Mus musculus: one gene and its partner. The protein of the gene in region 2 purifies or fractionates together with the protein of the main gene of each other region. This does not show direct contact. Links are inferred from orthologs where the notes say so. Each region holds a gene or a part of one and is shown on either strand. Other genes may lie near its edges.

Region 1 (3,500 bases), on a different chromosome or scaffold from region 2:
CTCTTGTAATTCCAATACTTGGAAGGCTTGCAGATATGTTATAAGTTCTGGACTAGCCTACACTACATAGGAAGACTGTCATTTGTTCCTTTGTTTTTACATATGTGTATGTATGTGCGAGTGCTCGCAGAGGTTAGAGGACAACCTGCTGGAGTCAGTTCTCTCCTTCCATCATGTGTTTTCTGGAGAATGATTGTGCTGAGTCTTTATATTTTGTGGCAAGTGCCTTAATCCTCAGAGCCAATTCTAAAACCCAACTCTGTCTTTTTTTTTAAAGCTGTGTCTCACATATTGAGATTAAAGGCATATACCAGTGCAATCTATCTTTTGAAGGAAGAAAATATGAAAAAAATCATCAAATTTTAAATGACTGCAGTTTATGGGCCCTGTAGAAGATTTGATCAGCTCTGACTGTAGCCAGTCAGTATTTATGTGGTCTTTTGTGAATTCTTGGGTCTGTTTCTGGCCCATGTCAAGAAGATGCTTCCAGCGTACACTACAGTCTTCCTTTTAATAGATTTTACCAACAGTATTGACCTAAACTAAGCAATGTTAGGTGCCTTGGGGACACAAGGGACTCTTCTGTGTCAAGCTCTTTTTTTGCCTAGTCTTCCCTCCAACACATTAATTAAGTGTATGAATATGTGGCACCATGGAGTATGGGGAAGGGGCCTGAAGAAAGTAGAGCTTGACAGAGCCATCTTAGAAAGTGAGGCCAAGCAAGGGTCGCATACTTTTCTGTCCTTCCAGAATCATTGATTCTAGAGTGTCACTTTTTATAAAACTAAATTTATGGGTCTGGGAGCATGGCTCAGATGCATAGCACTTTTTTTGGCATGTACATACCTTAAGTTCCATCACCAGCACTCCTAAGAAATAAATAGCTAGGGACAGCTAGAAAGATTGTTCCACAGTTAGAGCACTGATTGCTCTTCTAGGGAACCCAGGGTTAGCTCCCATCCCACATAGTGATTAACTACTTCTATCTTAATGGGACAACATACCTTTCATCCAGGAAATTTGAAATTTCAATTTGGATTATAAGTAAGTTCTCACCCCATGTTGGTTTGCCAAAATGTTGTGGTAAATATTATTCTGGGGATTTCTATCCCACTTGGACTATATAGTTTTCAAATGAAAAACAATAACCTTTACCTTTATAATAAGCTTAAAAATTTTAGAGCTGGGCAGATATCAACCTTTTATGTTATTTTGTCTACTTCCCTGTCAATAACTGAGAACTTGCCATGTTCTGCCTGGCCACTCTTACTCCAATAGGTCATGCACTTACAATCCACCTATCTCATGGTAACTTCTTCCTTCTCTCTCACCATGTTCCCTGTCTGAGACCCCAAGCCCAGTACCTGAGGCCCTCCTTCCTCTCTTCTGCACAGCTACATACTGTAGGCATCTTTATTAACCAGTCGGGGATAACATGTGGAGCAAGGTTTACACAACAAAGGCTGGTATACATGAAGATATGCTCATCATGGAGTAACCAGATCTTGGGTACAGAATTTAGCATTTGAATACAAGCAGCACTAGACCAACCCCCTACAGTACCTGTAGTTCCAGCAGACCCAACACCATCTTCTGGCCTCTGTGGGTACAGGCACCAAAGGGCACATAGACCCACATGCAAGCAAACACCCACACACATAAAATAAAAGGAAAGGCACATAAGAAAATAAACTTTAAAAATGAAATAACTAAATAATTTCCCCAAAGTACTAAGGCTGGAGTTTGAACCTGATGAACCATGGGCATGGGGTTACCTAGAAAGATGTAGGTGGGATTGTGAAGGAACAAGAGAGTGGACGTGACGTATAAAGGAAAGCTTTATGGATCAGGTGACAAACTCCATAGTATGATCTGATATCTGTGTGCTTCCAGTGTTGGATGCCCGTACCACACTGGACCAAGAGCCAGGCAGCTTCCAAGAGCTCTCTGTGAAAATTTCAGCTTGTGCAACTTTTCCCAGCTGCTGGAGCTAGGGGTTGTGTAATTTCAAAGAGCCTAAAATAAGTTCTGGGTCTGGTGCCAAGCGTCTCTGTACTAGCATGACCTTGCTCCTGGTAACACTTGGCCCCTCTACAAGAGGCTATGAGTACCAGGGCTCTTCTGAGATTAATAGGAAGGGTCTCCAGGTACTTTTTCTTTGATCTCTTATGGGTATACTCCAGGACTGAGTCCCTTAGTGATGGAGTACATTGTCAGGTTTTGGAGGTATGCCTTGTCATACAACATTTGCTGGCAGAGCCTCTGTCCCACAATGTGCACAAGTAGGCATGAGTTGGTGCCAGATGTGGACAACTTTGGGACAAGTTGGTTCCCCCCCCCCCCCACAGCTTTGCCTTTCCCCTCCTGCCACCTGGCTCTCCTGCTGGATTGGAATCTGCCACCCTGCCCCAGTTATCGAGGGATTTGCTCTACTAGGTGGCACCAATCCTCTGTGAAAGAGAATGAGATGGCACTTCCTACCCAGAGACCAAGGTAGCCCAACTCCCTGCTGTTCCCTCACAAGCTGATGTCACAGGACTCAAGTCAGCCTCTACTATATGGTTCCTCTCGGCTACTGAGAGGCCTAATTTTCCCGGGAGGGCCAGAGTCAAGGTCACTTGGCCAAGTTAGGCCCACAGGAGAAATGTCTCCATTAAAATAGATCTTCATATTTGCTCTTAATCAGGACTGTGGTGCCAGAACCGACAGCCCAGCAAACACACCAGTTCATAGGACCTTCTAGTATATTCAGATTTGCCTAATGCTGACAAGAAGACCCTTGCCTTGCTCTCCAGCTATTTAAGACCTCAGTTCCCTTATCCCCCATGTTCTTGCAGACCTGGAGTGGAAGATCATTTATGTGGGCTCAGCTGAGAGTGAGGAGTTTGATCAGATCCTAGATTCAGTGCTGGTGGGCCCTGTCCCTGCAGGAAGGCATATGTTCGTCTTTCAGGTAAGTAAGTTTTGCTTTAGCTCTTGATTTCCAGAAATGTTTCAGGCTGGAGATGGAATCAGGGCCTGACATACTAGACATTCACTACTGAGCCACACCTAAGCCTAGAACCTTCCTCTTTTACCTGAAAGCACACTGGTTTTGGCAGTCAAGTTTAAGTTCAAATCCTTAAACTTGGACTGGTGACAAAACTACTGTAATCCCAGCTACTTAGGATGTAGAAGCAGGAAGACCACAAGTTCAAGGCCTGCCTGAGCCACATGTCTCAGTTGACTGCCAGGAGCTGTCTGATTGAAGCTATCTTTTAAAGGACCACCACTCTGAACTCACCCAGTCTCATCAGATGTCCTTCCCCTCCCCAGAAGTGGGGACCTCTGGGTCACAGTTCTTAGTGACCACTGGACCACTAATTTGTGATCTGTTCACAGGAGTTGTATAAAACCCATAAACATAGTTCATGAATATTGAACTATTCCCCTCAAGGAAGAATAAGGATCAAGAGTCCTTGTTACTTGTTTATCAGCCAGGGCTGGGCACAGCAGTATAT
Region 2 (4,242 bases):
ATGTGTTTTCTCATTCAGTTTGTTAAGTACCTTTTAAACAATACAGAAGGAAGTAAACAACACAGTATCTGCCCCCTCCACTTCTTTCTTGCTCCCATTTTGTAGTAGTGGAGTGTGCTTAGGGCCTCGTGCATCCTTTGGCAAGCACTGTTCTCTGAGCCACATCCCAGCCCTTTTTTACCTTTCATTTTAAGACTGTCTTAAGTTTTCCAGGCTGGCCTTGAACTTGCTTTTTAACCTAGATTGACTTTGAATTTGGCAATCCTCCTGCCTCAGCCTCCCAAATAGTAGTATTATAGATGTATGCCTACTCTAGTTAAGATGGTTGCTTTCAGCCTGTCAGGGAAGATGTTCATGAACCGAGAGCAACTAATAAACTAAGCTAATAGGCAGAAGCCTCCTGGAGCTCTCTTGATCGCCACAGCGCTACCGGAAGATGTGGCTGAGTTTGGCTCCGCGTGCTGTGGCTATGAACAGAGCTTTAATGATGTGCATTGTCTTTTTCTCTTCACAGCGCCATCTCCGTGGAGCTGTACTACATCTTTGCCACAGTCTGGGGTCGAGAGCAGTACACTCTGTACGGCATCCTCTTCTTTGTCTTCGCCATCCTGCTGAGTGTGGGGGCCTGCATCTCCATTGCGCTCACCTACTTCCAGCTGTCTGGGGAAGACTACCGCTGGTGGTGGCGATCCGTGCTGAGCGTCGGCTCCACCGGCCTCTTCATCTTCCTCTACTCAGTTTTCTACTATGCCCGGCGCTCTAACATGTCAGGGGCAGTACAGACAGTAGAGTTCTTTGGCTACTCTTTACTGACTGGCTATGTCTTCTTCCTCATGCTGGGTACCATCTCCTTTTTTTCCTCTTTAAAGTTCATCCGTTATATCTATGTTAACCTCAAGATGGACTGAGTTCTAAGCCACAGAACTCTGGCTCTTTCCTGCTTTCATCATGCCCCATTGATTTCACTTGATAGCTTCTCTTCTGACCGAATTGTGTGATGGCATTGTCGCCTTCCTTCCCTCTTTAGAGAGGACCTGGAAATTAAAAATCTCTATTATATAAGGAATATATATATTTGAACTTTTTAAGTTGCCTTACGTTTTGGTCCTGATTTTTTTTTTCTTTTTACAATTATTAAAATAAAATTTATTAAGAAAAAGGATCCTGTCGTTGGAAGTTTTGGTCTAGTTATAGAAACCCGAGGCCTGTTGTCAATGCAGTTGTTTTGAAAACCCGAGTTCGCTATTGCCACACAAACTCTGGACTCTGGGAACTGTCGGCACAGGGAACCCACGGTGCCGAGGCTCTGTCAGCGGGTGCTCAGGCAGACGGAAGCCCAGACTGACGCCAGCCACCAGCTTTCCGCAGTTTTTGAAGGGAAGCAAGCTGAATCACCCAGGCGACAGGAGAGACGCAGAGTAACGCCCTTTCCGCCGGAAGTTGCTGTCGGAGTCTCCACGTGCCGATCCTCCCCCTCCCCACCCGGCCCTGTAGCAGCGGCGGCGTCGGCGGCGGCTCGGCAGCTGCCATGGAGCCTGCGGGTTTGGAACAGATCCTGAAGGAGCTGCTGCTGCCCGACACGGAGCGCATCCGCCGGGTATGGGCAGGCCTGACCGGGCTACGGGGATGGGGAGGCTGTGGGAAAGGCCCGGTCTTGACCTCCCAGCCTTCCATCAGGCTACGGAGCAGCTCCAGACCATCCTTCGGGACCCTGCTGCCTTGCCCGCACTCTTCGATCTGCTGGCAACAGCGACCGACTCTCAGGCGAGTCACCTGCCCCTCCTTGCCGAAATTCTGAAATTCCTCAATGTGTCCCTGGTCCCGCTCCAGCCTCCGCCCCCTGCGGTCCTAATCTGTTCATCATCTTCTTGGTGCCTGTGATTCTCATTTGGCTGGCAACCTCTTCTCACCCCAGATCCGCCAGTTTGCAGCGGTCCTGACCCGCAGAAGGCTGAACAATCGCTGGCGACGCCTGGCACCTGAGCAGAGGGAGAGGTGGGCTAGATTTAGGATGGGAGGGGCCGGGCCTAGTCTACTTTTTGACAGGCCGAGTACTAAGCCTTTGCCACCTGTCTTCCAGCCTCAAGTCCCTGGTCCTGACAGCACTGCAGAAAGAGACAGTGTAAGTGTGGAGCACCCACTCTCGGGGGTCCTAACTGATTGGGGCTGAGATACTGGACTTCTACCTTCTTTTTCAGCCCCAGACTAGGACTTAATTCAGGCCTAGAAGGTGGAACATGTGAAAACTAAAGTTTTTTGTGATTTATTTTTCATTTTTTAATTTTTTGGTTTTTCTGAGACAGGGTTTCTCTGTGTGGCCCTGGCAGTCCTGGAGCTTACTCTGTAGACCAGGCTGGCCTTGAACTCAGAAATCCGCCTGCCTCTGCCTCCCAAGTGCTGGGATTAAAGGTGTGTGCCACCACTGCCCAACTAAAACCCTAAAGTTTTTGAGAATGGCTGAAAATGATCAGCTAAACCCAGATAGGGAAAACAAGACTGAATTGAATTCAGCCTGTCCAGTGGTGCTGACCGAGCCAGATCACAATGCCCCCCTCCTTTCCTCACCCCCAGCTGTCGGTGGTCTTATGGGGTCTGCCTTAGGAAAGACCGTGCACATACCTGCATTCTCTTTCTGGCCACTCCTTGGGCCTGGGGCATTGTTTGCAAGGGAAGGGTGGTAAAAGGTGTTTCTATATGAATGGACCTCCTCTTTGTAGGCATTCTGTGAGTGTCAGCTTGGCCCAGCTCTCAGCCACCATTTTTCGAAAGGAAGGCCTACAAGGATGGCCTCAGTTCATGAACCTTCTTCAGCACAGCACTCATAGTTCCCATAGCCCCGAGAAAGAGGTACTGGCACTGCCCTGTTGGCAGGAAGGAGGGACAGAGGCTGGATAGACCACGAGACCGTCTCTTCTCCCCTGCTCCTGTACAGGTGGGACTTCTGCTGCTGAGTGTGGTGGTGTCTTCCCAGCCCGAGGCATTCCATGCCCACCAGCACGAGCTGCTTCAGCTTCTGAATGAGACGCTCAGTGACGTCAGCTTTCCCGGAGTGCTCTTCTACTCCCTGCGCACTCTGACTGCCATCGCCCGCTATGTCAGGCCGGATGATGTGGTAAGTAAGACGCTGCCTGTATCTCTCGGTTTCGTGCCCTCGCTTTCAGAAGTCTTGGCCCAAGCTGCTTTCGAGTTTTATTCCGCCTCCCGTTCTTCCTAAGGGTTGAGGGCATAGCGTGTTAGCTGGGCCTGGCTGGCTCCTTAGATGGAGGCTTTGAGGAAGCCTCCAGCTCCTGGCTTCTGGGATGAGACCACCTGCGCTTTATGTGATTACGCTCATTCCTGTGTCTTCCAGTCTCTTGCACGGATGTTGGTGCCCAAAGTCGTTACGGCACTGAGGACTCTGATCCCCTTAGATGAGGTAAGGACAGACGGGAGGGGTCTCCTTTTGGAAGGAAAATGGAGGCACAAGCACCATGGTCCCCTAGAGGAGCGAGTACCCTGTGACTTACTTGTCTGTCTGCAGGTAAAGGCCTGTGAGGCCCTGGAGGCCCTGGATGAAATGCTGGAGACAGAGTTGCCCATCATCAACCCCCACCTCTCTGAGGTCCTCACGTTTTGCCTGGAGGTGAGCCCGGGGTGGGTGCTGCTCCTGCTCGCTGGTTTGCCGTTAAGTTTTCTTGCTTGTTTCTGATTCTTGTCGGTGTCTGTATAGGTGGCTAAGAATGTGGCCCTTGGCGAACCACTCCGCGTACGTGTTCTCTGCTGCCTCACTTTCTTGGTCAAAGTCAAAAGTAAGGTACGTTCCCTCTGGGGAAGTTACCCCATCCTGCTGTCTCCGCCATTAGTTGTGTTTGTAGGCTTAGTCCTGCTCGAGCCCTGGCCCAGCCTTCTCTCCCTGCCTAGGAGACGGGGAGTCTCTGGCTGGGGTCCTTGTGGTTGGGAGGCTGGGATTTTCCCATGAGCCTGTTCTGGGAAGATGCTCAAGGCTAGCCCTCCCCTCTTAGGCCTTACTAAAGAACCGCCTCGTGCCTCCCTTGCTGCACGCCCTTTTCCCCCTCATGGCTGCTGAGCCACCCATGGGCCAACTGGATCCTGAAGATCAAGATTCGGATGACGATGACTTGGAGATCGGGCTGATGGGGGAGACTCCCAAGCACTTTGCTGTACAGGTGATGTATTGGCCTTCTCGTCACTGTCACCCAATACTCAGAGAAACAGACACCTTAAGGGGAGGAAGTATTTTCA

The links. Proteins that work in one complex are often made in the same cells at the same time.
Region 1: the proteins of Ipo4 (region 2) and Asf1b purify together in Homo sapiens (affinity purification with mass spectrometry; 5 studies listed by BioGRID and IntAct, counting the BioPlex papers as one, with this or other methods). This does not show direct contact. The link is inferred for Mus musculus from reciprocal best matches to the Homo sapiens genes IPO4 and ASF1B.

The regions. Positions count from the first base shown.
Region 1 is NC_000074.6:83,962,194-83,965,693, forward strand, and holds part of Asf1b (histone chaperone ASF1B), read left to right. Parts: intron 1-2,837; coding exon 2,838-2,953; intron 2,954-3,500. UniProt on the Homo sapiens protein: Histone chaperone that facilitates histone deposition and histone exchange and removal during nucleosome assembly and disassembly. Cooperates with chromatin assembly factor 1 (CAF-1) to promote replication-dependent chromatin assembly.
Region 2 is NC_000080.6:55,632,885-55,637,126, reverse strand, and holds the start of Ipo4 (importin-4), read left to right. Parts: upstream 1-1,442; 5' UTR 1,443-1,528; coding exon 1,529-1,597; intron 1,598-1,677; coding exon 1,678-1,764; intron 1,765-1,915; coding exon 1,916-1,995; intron 1,996-2,080; coding exon 2,081-2,122; intron 2,123-2,717; coding exon 2,718-2,847; intron 2,848-2,932; coding exon 2,933-3,112; intron 3,113-3,349; coding exon 3,350-3,415; intron 3,416-3,520; coding exon 3,521-3,622; intron 3,623-3,709; coding exon 3,710-3,793; intron 3,794-4,001; coding exon 4,002-4,166; intron 4,167-4,242. Other genes in the region: Tm9sf1 (transmembrane 9 superfamily member 1 precursor), read left to right, coding at 515-908. UniProt on the Homo sapiens protein: Nuclear transport receptor that mediates nuclear import of proteins, such as histones, RPS3A, TNP2 and VDR. Serves as receptor for nuclear localization signals (NLS) in cargo substrates.